Linked DNA regions of Lepisosteus oculatus. The protein of the gene in region 1 interacts with the protein of each later gene in a pairwise test. Links are inferred from orthologs where the notes say so. Each region holds a gene or a part of one and is shown on either strand. Other genes may lie near its edges.

Region 1 (8,157 bases):
TGAGAGAAGGAATCATTTGGTGCCCTGTGATGGACCAGCGTCCCGTGCAGGGATGGACTGTCCTGCCTTGTGCTCGCTGCCTGCCGGGATAGGCTCCAGCTCCCCCGCAACCCTGAACTGGATAAAGCAGTAGATGCATAAAAAATATTTCAAAAGCCTCCCTTTTTAGGTTTTCAACTCCCCATCCAATGAAATTGCCCACAATTTCTCCAGAACATTCTTGGTAGCCTTTTCACCATCACCGTACAGCCTGGTCATCAGCCCAGACGATCAACACACTGCCCTTACTTAACAATTTACAACAAGTGAATGTGAGTGAAGCGCTTTGCTCAAGGACACAGCAGCAGCCCGCCTGGGATTAGAACTCGCAGCCTTCCACTGCCACGTCCGCTGTGCCGCACTGCAGTTCTCTAATAACATCCTTCAGAACTCCTCTCTGCTCACCCAGCAATCACCCGCTTCCCCGCGCACTCTGCCCTGCTGCTCCACTGTCACTGTGCACACTATACTGTGCCTATGGGACGTCAGTCCTGCACAAGACCACAGCAACTAAACTGCTGGCCTTTACAATGCAGATGGTAGATCATGCCTTCCTAAAGTCATCAGTTCAATAAATCATAACAATATACGTCTTTTTCAACAGACAGCACCACAACTCCATGATTCTGTTAACACATTGTCACCCAAAACTTATTTGTTCCTCCATTCCACCCTTCCTCATTAGGTTTCCAAGTCTTGGAATTAAGCTGTCATTTTCCAAGGATTTCCTGCAATGTTCAAGAATCCCACTGTTCTTTAACAACTTGTATTTCACTGTCCAGCCTGACACAATACCCTTTGGTGCCGTGCAGGATCAGGTAGGGGATGAAACAGAATACTTATTCTCTGTCTTTGTAGCACAGCTGCAGGATAACAGCCCTTTGCTCAGCCCTAAATGAAACCAGCATCTGAAACCCACTGATAAGAGGCTTGTGGTAGGGAGACTGAAGATTCGGGTTTTATAAAGGCCAGCCTCTCTAAATGCTAAGTGGGCCAGAGATAAACCTGAGCTGACAGGTGGAATCAGTCAGATGGGAAGAGCTTGCTGCCGTCAAGGGCTCTGGTACCACAGAGCATTCCCCTTTAAGGCAATACTTTACACTGCCTCATTAATCTATTGCAAAAAAAAGGCTATAAATAAAATATGATACCGGCTTCTTGTGTCCTTGTCCGATAGGCACCAAACAACACCTACATTTTCCTTTTCCAAGTGACACCTTGGCCAGTCTGTGATCACAGGGTTCGCTCTGTTCAGCACTGGAGGTGAAGAGCCCTCCCAGGAGTCTCAGGGCTGAAGGCGTCCCAGCAACTCAAGGGCTTCTGCTGTCATGCCACTGTTTCACACACTCAGCAGCCAGGCCATCTCACAAAGCCAGCAGAAGGGCTACACAGGGGCACCCCGGTGAGCTTTAGCACTGTAGGTCATCGTCCAGCTACTGCCTGAAGGCTGCCAGCAGTCAACTTGAACAACAAAGCAGACAGCTTGTTCTGTCCGGCAGACTGTGTGTTTAGAACAAGGGCCTTCTACATTTGGGTCACTGTTTAGCTTGAAGAAGTCATCTGGGTCGGTTCTGTCCACACCTATAATAAACAAAACTAAAGAGACTGAGTTCCTTTAACCCTTCTGCGTGTGAGGTCACAGAGGCAAGGATGGTGGAATGTAGCAAAGTCTTCTTTCTTGTATTTTAGTAACCTGTCCTTACTGTGGTAAAGGTTTGTACCTCAAAGTCATTGTCATAACATTCTGTTCCACATTGTTAGAGAGTTGACAACCCTGCACCCAGCTTGAAAAGTACCACACTGTTAGCAAGCATTGTTCTTAATAAGGCCTGACTCAGACGCTCGAGCCCAAAGCTGGAGCAGATGTACCACAGGTGCAGAAATATGTAGGGCAAAAAAAAACAGCTCGAGTTTGGGGATATTTATTTTAATATGGTGGGGCTCTGTATGACTTCCAGTGTGGATTTCCTAACTGTTCAGTAGAGCGAGTGAAGACAGTCCCACCCGGGCTCAAGGTCAGAGGGATTTTCTGCACGACGCGGAGTAGGCACAAATCATTCTCACTGCCCCTCACAGATCCAGGACATCGCCCTCTACCGCCATTTGACGGCACTGCAGAAGAAACCACAGGGCGGATTTTAAACTGCGCTTGATCTCAAAGCGCAAAACCGCGACCTGAACACTGAACGTTATCTCGGATTTTAATGGAACAGTCATAATGAATGTGCATGGTAAGCTGTAGTTTTGTCTTTACAATATTAGGAACCCAATGAAATAGGCAAGCTGCATACAACACGTTAATTTTAGTCCCTAACTTTCTATTACTCAAGCCTCTACTAAAAGCATCTAGGGGAGTAATCCCAAATGAAAGATTTTAATTGCACATTCCTTCTCCCGATCGTTACAAGCTCAGTTGCGGAAGGAGGGGGCTAAACATTACCGGGGGATGTTAAGCGCGCACCGTGACACCCACGGAGAGCGCCGCTCTGCCGCACGGTGACCAGCCGGTTCCCCGCTGACTCCGGCGCTCTGCCGGTGTCGACTCGCGACCCAACCCACTTCACTCTGATCAAAAACACCGCCACTGTCTTCATTTGGATTTTAAAATACCGGCCGAGCCATACCGCGGCACCGAAACCCCAAGATAAAGACATCGTACTGCGATATTGATCGCACCATCAAAGGGCTCCTTCCATCCCGACGCGAGAACTCGACAGCACATAATTACGCACTTCAAAGTGTGGAGAGTTCCTCAACAATATTTTTAATCTGCCCCTTAGTAAGAGCCTTATAACACATTTCAATACATGCAATTGCGATCGCCGGTGCTGTTCCGATCTGTTGCGAAGCCTGGAGTCTCACACGATGTTGTAAAACTAAAACCGGTTGTTTTGTTCGTGCTTTCACTGCTCAGAAAACAACACTACAGCAAATAGCAAAATCGCTGAAGAGTTTCTATATATACTTATGCGTTATTGTGTGGTGTGGTGCTTTTAAGTAAACGTGATGATAAACAGCGTTTAGTTCGAAGTTTCTGCCTCCAAGTAGACCTGACAACAGTGCAGGTATGGTACACCGGCAATCCCGAGCTGTAATCAAATGATTTAGCTACATCAAAATAAATAACAACAAGCAAACTGGTTCCGTAAACTTACCAACTAGTACACGCAAGTCTTCATCCGAAGATCCAAGACCGTACTTTTGCAAAGAGCGTAGAGAGAGAGGGGAAGAGTTCAGTTCCCAGGCATGCGAAATCCGCGGTGTTGAGTTTTATTGTGACGGAATTTGTGGGTCTGCCAGCAAGTTTCAGAACAGCCTCGCGGCGGTCCGAGCGAAGACTCTCACAGCACCAGACTTCCCATCGCCCTGCACTTCCCTGTGGAGCTGACGGGCAAACACGAGCGCCTTCGCTCGTCTCCCGGCAGGACCCAGCCCCCACCGGTCTGCGCACCGCCGCTGGCTGGAGAGACAGCCGGCCTGCTCTCCCTCACACCGGGGCTCGGGCAGGGGGAGGGGGGCCGCAGGGGGGTGCGGACTGCCGACCTCAGCGTCCTGAAGAAGCCAGCTGTTACACTGTAAATTGTTCCCACTACAAAATAATGCTCGCATTGAACATCGTCTGTTCATCTTAGTACATTCAGATTCATACAGTACCTGTATGAATCTGAATGAAAAACCCGAGAGATCACGTTTACTTTGGCAAAAGTATTTTCAGTCTCATCCCATTCTTCGCTGAAATGCTTAAATTAGCCATTTTTTTTCCCACCCGAGCTCATACTGTCGATTCCGGGTGATTACACACAGAAAAGCATATAAACCAAGCATTTAAGAATGGTCTGTTCCCACGAGTAACGTTTTGTAGATAATAAACGGCTTATCCCAGTTATCCTAAAATCGAGTTTCTCTTTGAGAAAGCTATTTTATTGAAAATAAGAATCGGGAAACACGTAAGTTTTGGTATCCAGTATTTTAGGGTAAGATTGCGGTTCAATAAATGTTATTTTGTTTTTTATAGTATATTAAAGCATTAGAGGAAAACTATTAGCAATAGTGGTATTAAACATCATCTTTATCCAGATAATTTAGAATAAGTACTCTTTTATACTCTTTTATAGTAATGACATGGCCAAGAAGCTCACACTATTGTGGCTCAGGAAACAAAGCACAAGAAGAAATAAAGGAACAATCAATAAAGTTAATCAATAATCAATACAGTGGCTCTGTGGCTAAGGATCTGCCCCTGTGACCAAAAGGTTGCTGGTTCAAATCCTGCAGCTGGCAGAGGAATCCTACCCTGTTGGGCTCCTGAGCAAGGCCCTTAACCCCAACCCCTTCCCCTCCCTGCGCTCTGACCCCAGGCTCTCTCTCTCTCTGTGTCTCATGGAGAGCAAGCTGGGGTATGCCAAAAGATAATTCCTAATGCAAGAAATTGTAAAGGGTTAATAAAGTTGTTGTTATTATTATTATTATACAACAGGACATTGTATTATTAACTGTAGATGTCAATCGGAAAGGATACACCTGAATTTAGAGATACCCATTAACCTACCTAACTCACCAAAGTACTCACAGAAACCTCATGTTGACAGCATGCAGACTCCACATAGAAGGTACCTCAACAAGAATCAAAGTTGGAATAGCAGTCCTAACCACCACACCTCTGTGCTGACGCTAATAAAGTCATTTTACTTCAAACTGTCATATATCTGTTCATGAAAACAAGTTCCACTCCTGATGATCTGTAAAACATCATAGTGGTAATATCTCAGTGTTTGAACTGCTATACTCATCAGCCAAAAACATTAGGAACCCTGCTACATAGCATTTTTACTTACACTGTGGCTTTGTGGCTTGTAAATGACACCTTATAAACATGTAACAAACAAGACATAAACACTCGGTTGTCAATCACTAACACATTTGCACATAAAGACAAGTGTTTTGTTACTAATCATGATTAATCTTTAATAGGATTGGTAACTACCGGGTTATTCATTATTCAGACTGTAGGTGACCTTTCAATCTATTACAGGTTCTAAAGAATTTCTAATGGAATTTGCAGCTCCTGTTTAGTATCAGAAAATATAAAGGACGGTTTGAACAGGATGTAGCATGCATTTCCATACTTGAACCACATTACATTACTTTATTTTGTAAGTATTTGCAGCCCAATCCCTTTGGGCGATGATGAGCTTTGAACCACTTGAGCTGCCAGTTCTTGGTAGGACTGAGACCTGGGGATTGGTCTGGCATTGGAAAGTGAAGAGCAGCTTTCTCACACCCCTGAGACAAACAAATTATATTGACAGAGAGCCTATTCGTCTGGCCTGAGGGTTTCTGATGTTGTGAGTCTACATTGACAGCAGCAGGGAGTCTTAGCACCTCGGCATGGTTTTATTGTCATTTACCAATAACATTTTCAACCACCAAGACTCTCTGGGTTCGAAGGCGGGTCATGTTACTACCCAGCTGTGGGCAGAATTCCCCACGTGGCAGTGCACAAAGGGCTGGGTGAAGGAGCCCGTCTCTGCTTATTTGCCCCATGCTGGTGTAGGGGTTGTCGCCCTTGATTAGGCAGATAAAGCAGGCTGACGGTGGCATCAGTGCCATCTAGCCCAGTGGCAGTCAACCTTGGCATCTGGATTGCATGCCACTGTAGGTCTGTGCTCCAGCTATTCCATCATTTTAAACAGGCGCTGTCCTTCGGATGAGACGTAAAACCGAGATCCTGACTCTCTGTGGTCATTTTTAAAAATCCCAGGGTGTTTCTCGAAAAGAGTAGGGGTGTAACCCTGGCGTCCTGGCCAAATTTCCCATTGGCCCTTACCAATCATGCCTCCTAGTTATCCACCTCTATGAATTGGCTTCATGACTCTGTTCTCCTCCCCACTGATAGCTGATGTGTGGTGAGCGTTGTGGCGCACTATGGCTGCCGTCACATCATCCAGGTGGGGCTGCACATTGGTGGTGGTGGAGGGGAGTCCCCATTACCTGTAAAGCGCTTTGAGTGGAGTGTCCAGAAAAGCGCTATATTAGTGTAAGCAATTATTATTATTATTATTATTATTATTATTATTATTATTATTATTATTATTATTTTCAAACTGATTGGCGGCACCTGGGTCATTAAGCAATTGAGAATCATTTCAGCACTAGATGTATTGAAAGCTTCAAAGTCCTGGAATGACTTGGAAGCCAGGTGCCAAAGTTGGCTGCCTTTGGTCTATACTGATTGCGCCAGATGTCAGAACTTCAGAAAGGCTGTGCCTGGTTAGTGCTGGGAGAGTCAGGTGCACTAGGTTGCCATAATAAGCTGTGTTAGTGGACCAGTAGGTGGACCAGTAGGTGGTGCTATGCCTTCTGGACCAGGGTATGCAAACCAATGTAAGATGACCATGAGCACTGTGATGAAGAGAATGCTGTGTTCTGGAAGAGATTAAACTTAGATCCTGACTGATTGGTCATTAACTATCTCCTGGCATGTCTAGGTCATTTAATGCAATTAAATCTCATAAAACAAAAATAATTGGAGAGTCTAAAATCCATTATAGAGAATTTTAGAAGCTTCATGTACAAGAAAAAGATCTGCATAATGAAGATCATGCCAGTCTTCGATCGTTAAACTCCCGATGGGAATAGGTGTCTCGCCATTATTCAGCATTGCTATAAACAGAAGGGCAGGCTGATTTTATTTAAACGTCCATTATTATGTGATATCTTCAGCAGGGCAAATGGAGATGGGTGCTTGGCAATTAAATAAGAGGAATAACAAACTTGATTTCTTAGGGTGACCGAGAGGTGCAGTGTTTGGAATATCACCTTGTGACTCCAGATAGTTTTTCTAGAACAAATACATTTCCCTCTGCAGAATGTTCGTGAGAACCCTTGTCCCAGATTTCACACAAACCACACACTGCGTTCCGCCTCATTCAGCACTGTGAGACCAGTTGTTGAAACAAAAAGCTGGCTTCATGTAAAGGCTGTTTATTTTCAGATTGCTGTTATGTGTAGATAACGCTTTTGGTGGTCTATACAGTTTGGGAAAAACTTAGAAATGACAAACAAGCCTTGTTAGAAGCTAAGACAAAGCACGCAACTTTCTGTGTTATGTTAAACCACACTTCAGTTTCAAAAAGTTACACAGGTGTAATGTCTCCTTTAACACCACCTATGAAGCAGCTGAGTGTGTTGAGCTCCACACCAGTCTAAATCTTAAACCCCTTCGCAGCTGAACTCTCCATGACCCTCATTCTGAATGTCATACATTTCACGTCCTGAAACATTGCCCCCTTTAGAGCAATTTTCACGCTTCATTTGAGAGCTTGTTTTTCAAGTGTGATTTTATTATTGCTAATATTAATAACACACAGTTGGAAAATTGAATTTGCATATGAGCCGTTGTGCACAATTCACACCAGAGCTGTAAAGCCTAGGCTGCACAGCCAGAGGTAATAACTATAATTCTCACCCAGTGCTGTTCCTTTGAGAGCCCGGTTTTGGGTCCCCAGGAGTTTTTCTTTCTTAATTTTGGAATCAACATAAATTATTTTAACATTTTACACACAAACAATAAAAAATCACCAGTTTTACAGTCCAGGTGACTTCTATGGCTGTACCAGCACAGGAGAGATATGGACCACATCTGCTTTCCTCCAGCACACAGATTGTGGAGATGACCAGCGCACTCTGTTACGGAAAAGTTACTGCCAGCAGCCATATCACCCTGCAACTCACAACTAGCAGCCCACTGAAGCTAAGCAGGTGTGAGCCTGGTCAGTACCTGGATGGGAGACCTCCTGGGAAAAACTAAGGTTGCTGCTGGAAGAGGTGCTAGGGGGGCCAGATGGGGACACTATACTGTAAACAGGCGCCGTCCTTCGGATGAGATGTAAAACCGAGGTCCTGACTCTCTGTGGTCATTAAAAATCCCAGGGTGTTTCTTGAAAAGAGTAGGGGTGTAACCCTGGCATCCTGGCCAAATTTCCCCATTGGCCTTTATCAATCATGGCCTCCTAACAATCCCCCTCTGTGAATTGGCTTCATTACTCTGCTCTCCTCCCCACTGATAGCTGATGTGTGGTGAGCATTCTGGCGCACTATGGCTGCGTCACATCATCC
Region 2 (7,789 bases), on another chromosome or scaffold:
TCAGCTCAGCCGCACATGTACAATATACAGCGTATGAGATTATACTTGACAGTGTACACCTTTCAACAAAAAGAAATGCAAAACAGCAAGTGCTTAAAAGTAAAAATGAACTTAGAGCTAAAAGGCTTCATACAGCAATCAGTGGGACAGAAACTGTGTGGCCTTCCAAGTGTACACAGTGTTTCAATTCCAGAAAACAGTACCAATGATTAATTATATTAATATCATTAATGTCAGGACAGATTCACGGGAAATGTACAGGTATTTCTCTACAGTCAGAAATTCCAGTGAAATGGTTTGATTTAGACACGAGACACTACCTGGATGGCTGGGTTGAATGCACATTTTCCCCTCAGAAGAGCTGCCCATTTGGCCATTAGAGCAGGTTGATCCTGGCAAGCATGGTGAAGTCAGAGAGTCAGAGAAGAGGACAGTATTGAGTAAACAGGGTTTTTAAACCAGCATTTTTAGTAAAGCTACAGCTACCGTTACGTGTTGAAATTCTGTACATCTTACTACCTTAAACATAACCCCTTTGGAGATACTTGTGCCCCAAAATTGACATTCTACAGTATGCAGTTATTATAGAACTTCTAATAAACACTGGCCATTTTAACGTACATGATAATTTGGGTTTCAAAGATAATATGGTCTCCATTTGATTTTCACAAAAAACAATTCTTTTCAGCAGGAATCCCAAGAAAGAAAAACACAAAGAAGACAGGCATGCTGGCAGTTTAAGAAAACCTCTATGGAGGGGTGTTGAAGGGACTGTTCTGGAATTAAAACTAGGGAGAGGAAGAAACCACATCCGAAAATGGCAAAACTCTGAAATTGGAGACTGAAAGCAAATAAAAGATCCAGAGAGTGCCTGGCATGAGCTTTGCAACTGCACACTCTAATTACAGGGCTGTCAATACGAATGTGCTGGATTTAGATCTAGTTAAGGCTGTTGATGGTGCCTGTAATTGTGACAACCTCTTTACTCCTATTACAGCAATGCAACAAAATACATTTACGGCAGAATTGGTATAAGCCAGACTTCTTAATTGTAAAATACTAATGTAGGCACATACAATAATATTAATTTGAATTTCTTCTACCTTATTTTCTTCCAGTAATACATTACAGTCATTACGAATGTCCTTTATTAATCTGTGGCTAGTATTTGGGTCCAACCTTTGAGGCACTACCCTGCTTCTCAGGTAACATGGTAAACAAGTTATACAGATGTACCAAAAAGGATATATAAAATGTACCTTTATATTATCATTGTGGACACCAGAGTTGGAGATGCTCTGAAATCGGCCATCCTTGGTGCTCACCTCTGAGGTCAGGTCCTTGATGATCTGCTGAACCTCGTCCACTGTCTTGGACACCTGACGGTGTCGGAGATCCACCTGCAGAAAGGGGCATTCAGAGCCACAAGGCCACAGGAAACCTACCATTCCCTCTGCTGGGAAAGTGCCAGAGCTGCTGGCATGTTCTCAGTTTGTCGGCCAATAGCAAACTCTCCAGGAACATTATTCTTTGCCATTCTTGCCTCTCGGCCCAAAACCTATCACACAGCCACCTCCTCAGCCCACAATTACATTGATAAAGTTTACTCATACAATACGGTGTGACATACAACAGCAATGCAAACTAAAAAACGTAAATCATTTTATCAGAAAGTTTTTAACTGGACGTACTGACTACCAGCAAAAAAAAAGCAGAGTTGAGAATATGATTTGTTTTGTTGTAATGTAACAAAACCAATGTTATGATACAATAAGAATGTCATTCACGAGACAGAGCAGGGGCTTAATGACTGAACCGTTATTTTTCAGCTTGAAAGGAAAATAAGCAGAACAAATGTTATACTGTAGGTTATCAAAAAAGCTAGGGTGGGTGTGCATTACATGTACCTTTAAATGAAGTTTAGAATTACGATAAATGACTTTTGATCAACATGTTGAATAAGGTATTTATGATATTCAAAGTTTAAGTCAAAAACTGAATTTAATTAATTTTATTTCAGTTTACATGCAGTTGTAATACAATTTCCATTACCACAGTTTCCACATGACCACTCTAACTCTGGGTTAAGAAAAAGACAAACATTTGTTATTTTTAAGTTTCTGAAGTGCTGTTCCATCAATCACCTTCTTCTTTTCTTAAACGATAAATTACATTTATACAAGGAATATACAGTACATTATTTATCTTCGAAGGCTAGCTCATACTTATTTTTATATTTTGTTCTTTTTTCAACATGTTTTTTTTATGAGGTGTTGATTGTTTACATCTGTACTGATGTATTGGCATGAAAGACCCTACTGTGTATAAAATAAAGGTTTAGTATTAGAGTGATAAATGCAACATCTAGCCATACAAAAAATACTGTTACCTGTTTTAGATAATTTTATATTTCATAAAGTCATATCCTTAATTGGTGTTCAAAATAATGTTTTTTATTGCTCAAATAAAATTAAAGGAAAGTTGAGACTAATTAAAGGATTAGGTTAAAATAGACTGGGTAATTGGGTAGTATTTGCTTAATATAAAATTTGGTAATTGGGATTGGGTAAATAATCTGGAACTTGCCTTGCAATATGACACACCTTATATTTAATTCTTCATTAAATATCATTGTAATGCATATATGCAAATATTTCCTGATTGATACCAAATCAACTATTGGATAATAAAATACTGATCACCACATTGCAATCCTCTAGTACAATACTGGTCACTCTTGCAGAATCAATGAAATACATAAATACTGTACACATCATGCAGCACATTTACACATTGTTGTATATTGAGCAGCTACAATCCTAATCATTTTAGAAAGAAACCTGATAAAATAGTCTTTCTGATAATATAATTTTATGTAATTTATTAAGATTACAATCTTACCACACCCTGAGCCAATTTATTATATTATATTATATATTATACTGCATTAACTGTATAAATAAAGTAGTAATGTTTTAACCAAAAGAGACACAAGAGAGGGAAAGAGAACATTAAATCATTTTAAAATATTTTTTTCCAAAAAAGACTTCAGATTATTTACCTGGTTTTGTAGGAAGTTGTCCAAGTCTTCCTCTGTAAAACCTGTCATTTCACACTCTGCTTGTATTTTGGTTCACTTATGTGCTTACTGTAGTTCTGTGTGATTCTTGTTGCTTTGTTCTGGGTAAATAATCTTGCTTCTCACAGATGTGTATCTCACTCACCACAAGCTTCAATGTGGCAATGCGTTTAACACCAAGCCAAAAAAAGGGAATTGAACATTACGTTATTGATTAAACACCATTGACTTTAGGAATGAATGTGTTCTCATGGTCCCTTAGTCCTCCAAATCATACTATCAAACTATCACCCATTAAAACAACACAGAACATTAGCAACCAGTTACTAAAATCACTTTAAATACAATGCAATTTTCCTAACATATACAGGTACGTCATGCTTATGTATGCTATTGGTTCCATATAATATATAAATACATAATAAAAAATACTTAGCACAATAAATACAGAGAATAGAAAGGTGTTTGAGAGTAAATAAACTATAATACATTCTGAAGGTATTGAACGTGAATAAACTTTCTCTAACATTGATTAGCTTTATGAATACTACCATAGTTATGTGGAAATCTGAAACATTAACTTGAGGTACAGTACATTTTACGGAGACTATTATCTCACCTGTTCTGTTTGACCTTTGGCCCTCTTTATACCTGCAGATACAACTTTCACAGTGGCATCAGCTAACATTTCAACACCAAAGGCTCTGTCACCTAGAAAGACGATAACATGCAAAATGCAACAATCAAGAGAACAGGTTCCTTCACTTTACATATTTTTAATATTGTAAACTGGAATGTGAACGAGATAAAAATTCTTTACAGCAAAGCCAGTATATTATTCAAACTGATGCCTAAAGGCAGAAAATAAACACCTGCCAAGATCTGTTGGAATCTGAGGTTTCACAACTTTTGACCTGACCTACAAAAACAGCTACTGGAGCTTTAACTCCACTTGAGCGACAGAGCAGCAGAGGCAGATGAACAGAGTCAAACAGAAAGGTCAGGGAAAGGGGATACTGATAACTTGTAAAACTATAATATAGAAAATATAGGAATGCATAGTCAGTACAATATCTAGTTAGACTTACAAAACCCACAAATCTGTGATCACACACACAGGAGCAGAGACTGATTATAGCAAAACCCAGATTATAGCATCATAAAAGGAAATCATTGTAGCCAACAGACTTAACCAGATAAGCTCATTAAGCAGAATGTAAATATCATAAACCACTTTATATTCCGATAATCTAGTCAACACCGAATGTCTCTAAATATACAGCAAACGTGCAGGTTACATTATGTACATGGGAAAACAGGACACCTGCAGTAGGTGTGGTGTGAACCAAACCATGGTGGGACTACACCCATGGGATGTTCTGGCGTACAGTATATAGTACCTGTTCACACCAAAACAAACAAACAAACAAACAAACAAACAAATGATGCAATAGGCTGACAGAGAATAATAATAAAACTAATATGTTCAAATTTAAAAGGGTCCCGAATGCATCAAACAGGAAAACTGAAGACCAACAGCAGACCAGAAGACCTGGATTGGCAGTAAACTCACTACTGTGGGACCATGATTTCAGTGGAGGTGAGAACTAATGGTAACAAATCAACAGTAATACTGTGCTTTAGACCCGATTAGAAACACTTAAGTCCTATTCTATCAACATCAGCTCTTTACATTTATGAAATCCGTACAAGACTGTGAGCAAAAATGTGTATGGCACAGTTAGAAAGCATGTCTCTCATATTCTATTCATGGTGTTTGTTATTACAATTAGAAATGAAAACTAAAAACATAGGTAACTCCAAACTTAAAGTATTTATCTTTCTTGGTTTCTTAACTAAATGGCATGTGTGATGTTACGTTAAAATTACATTAAACAAAGAACGTGTTGTTCTTAACTAAGCAATAATTTAAAATATATAGTAATGGAATGATAGTCATATGCTGAATATACCAGACTACATACCATACTGTATATACAGTATTCAGCTTAGGCAAACTATACTTAACCACGTACATATACAGTACAGCACATTTATAACTTATCACTTCCAAAGTGCACCCAATTTACATCCTGGTGGAATTATAGTGAATAACTTTTGTCCAGTACTCTGTCAAAAAGCTAGAGTTTATTCATCAGTTTATTATTTGTCTTAAGTCGTATTTAATGAGAATATAACCATTTTAAATTTAATTAACATTTATTGAGGAAACATCTGCTGTTTTACAGTCCAACATTATGATACATTGTATTTTGAATTTTTGAAGTAATGGGGAAAAACAGCATTTAGACAGAAAGATGGGGAAAAAACTCCTTTTATAGGTCAAGTCATGGGTACAGCAAAAACACATAAATGGAAACAGATAACAAATTAAGCTAGCATTTGGACCCAGGGGAACATTTTATCATAGCAACCTCTGCGCTGTTCAGTCCACAACAGTCACTTAGAGTGACTCACAATGATTTGGGATTTAGTCTAATTGATCATAAAGAGCAGCTAGCCTAAAACATCTGACTGTGTTGTCAACAACTGTAAACTCCCAATAAATACCATTAAAGGTTTATTTTTAGAATAATCATGACTTACTGTTTAGGGTGCTTAAAGTGTTACTTTAGGTTAGTTTAATGCAAACACATAATATGTATTAATAGATCTGCAATGATTAAAATACTGGCATTTCACAGTCTTACAGTAAAATAATGGTGACTACCAATGCACAGAGGATAAAATAACACAGAAAAGTACAATTTAACTAATGAACTGTTAAATAAATGTGAACACTACGCTGCCCTGCAAAATGTAATCCAGATGTTTTTGTGTCATTATGCTGTAATTTAAAGTGCTTGTGCTAACTTAAAGTTTGATGCAGACTTGGCAATATAGCAAGATTTTTCTTATTCAACAAATATCCATGTATTTTGAGCATTCAGGATGTGGACGTTTCTTTTTCCTTTTTATAAGAAGGATCTCAGCCCCTTCTACCTGTTTATCATCTGTACAAATGTATGTGTAAATTAGGCACTCCATCTACAGAGTGTTTGCGAATAGCAAGCGCATATCATGACTCTGGTTACTTTGTCCTTCAACATCATTTGAATGCCTTGCAGTGCAATTAGCAGAGCCATAACATTTAAATGAAATTTGTTTTTAGAACATGCACATGCATGTAGGGCTTGGAAACACTTCAGTCTGTGGTTTGTGTGTATGCTGTTTCCCCTTGAGCTTATACATGTCCTATCACACTACAGCCTTGTGTGAATCAGCCCCTATGCATTTAGTACACTTTTTAAGAAGGCTGATGTATAAGCCTGACTATTTCCATTTTATAGCATGCAGAACAGTTCAATGAACTTAACAGTTGGCTTACTTTTCTGAAGCAGGAAAAACAGGAAACTATCAGCGGTTGAGCACAGTAATGTGATCTGACACAGTCGATGCCATTGACTTCTGACCAGAGGATTTTTTTTTCTAAATTTGTACTCAAAGCCACTGAATTGATTACGCCCCCATTTCCAGCAGGAACGTATTAACTCACATGAAGCAATAATGTATCTGTGTGACTGCTTGTATAGGCTTCAGTCTCAGAAAAATATCCTTCCCTTATTAATACTGGTGTTCTAACTGTGGCCAGTCCCTGTACATCTGGGAATATGCTACAGATTTTAAATTATTCTAATTTATATTAGTTATTGGTAAAATAACATAGTTGCAAATGTTGTACTTTGGTCTTAATTCACATGAATCTGTATAGGGATCACAGTTATTCTTAATTTATATCACTGTTCTCAATTCTGGCAAAATTAATCAATAAATCATGGTCACAGATGATACCAAAATAGGTAGATTTGCGGGAAAAGACAGGAAAATTTAGAGACAATTCAAAAGTGAGCAATCTATTGAAAACACTTAGATGTTGACTCAGAAGATTATATTGACACTATTTCTATCTTTTAGAAAATCTGGGGGGACAATGAAAAAGACAAATTGTTTCAAAATGTGATTAAAACTGTACAATGTACTGTAAAATGTACTTAAAATTAAAGAATGCAGTAGTAAGACCTAATTTCACATTTTGTGCTCCGTTTTGGTTAATTACAAAATTGATATGACTCTGGAATCAGGTACAGGTATACTGTATGGTTCTGTGCTTTGAGGAATAAAAGTACTGAGCAATGAACTCTTACAAAGAGACCCGATTCAAGCATTCAAAGGCACTGGCAATAGTCAGAATCAAACTTGAAACACAAGCCAGACGTTCTAAGGAGAAGTTATGGAAGTTCAGAATAGGCTACTCAGCCATTGTTGTCAAACATGATATCTTGGCTTCTTTAAAAAAGCAGTCAGAAGAGATCCTCAGAACAATTCATATTAGCGCACAGTCAAGATGGGCTGATGGCCTCCCTCATCTGCAACCATTCTTACGTTCTTAATAATTTCAGTCCTGTCTTACTGTATATATGAAAACTAGAAGTGTGTATAATTCACAGTTTATTTTCCCTGAAACAACTGTGAAGTTAAACAAACATTCACTTTTCATCCTTCTGGTGACAGGAGCTGTTTTATATGAATCTCCTTGTAACTGCCAAGCAGTCACTGGATCTAGATCTACAATAAGTCTCTGCAATCAATTTAGATATTTACGTTTCCAGAACTATTTCCTTACTTTTTGTGTTAATATTCCAGATTTGC

Evidence for each region. The genes of interacting proteins can lie anywhere in the genome.
Region 2: the proteins of leucine zipper putative tumor suppressor 2 homolog (region 1) and mab21l3 interact in binary tests that used the Homo sapiens proteins (3 or more experiments, as listed by UniProt). The two-hybrid records come from large-scale screens. The link is inferred for Lepisosteus oculatus from reciprocal best matches to the Homo sapiens genes LZTS2 and MAB21L3.

Annotation. Positions count from the first base shown.
Region 1 is NC_090699.1:45,525,264-45,533,420, reverse strand, and holds the start of leucine zipper putative tumor suppressor 2 homolog, read right to left. Parts: upstream 3,541-8,157; 5' UTR 3,195-3,540; intron 1,621-3,194; 5' UTR 1,235-1,620; intron 1-1,234. UniProt on the Homo sapiens protein: Negative regulator of katanin-mediated microtubule severing and release from the centrosome. Required for central spindle formation and the completion of cytokinesis.
Region 2 is NC_090710.1:33,057,022-33,064,810, forward strand, and holds the start of mab21l3 (protein mab-21-like 3), read right to left. Parts: upstream 3,215-7,789; 5' UTR 3,110-3,214; coding exon 3,062-3,109; intron 1,401-3,061; coding exon 1,260-1,400; intron 393-1,259; coding exon 321-392; intron 1-320.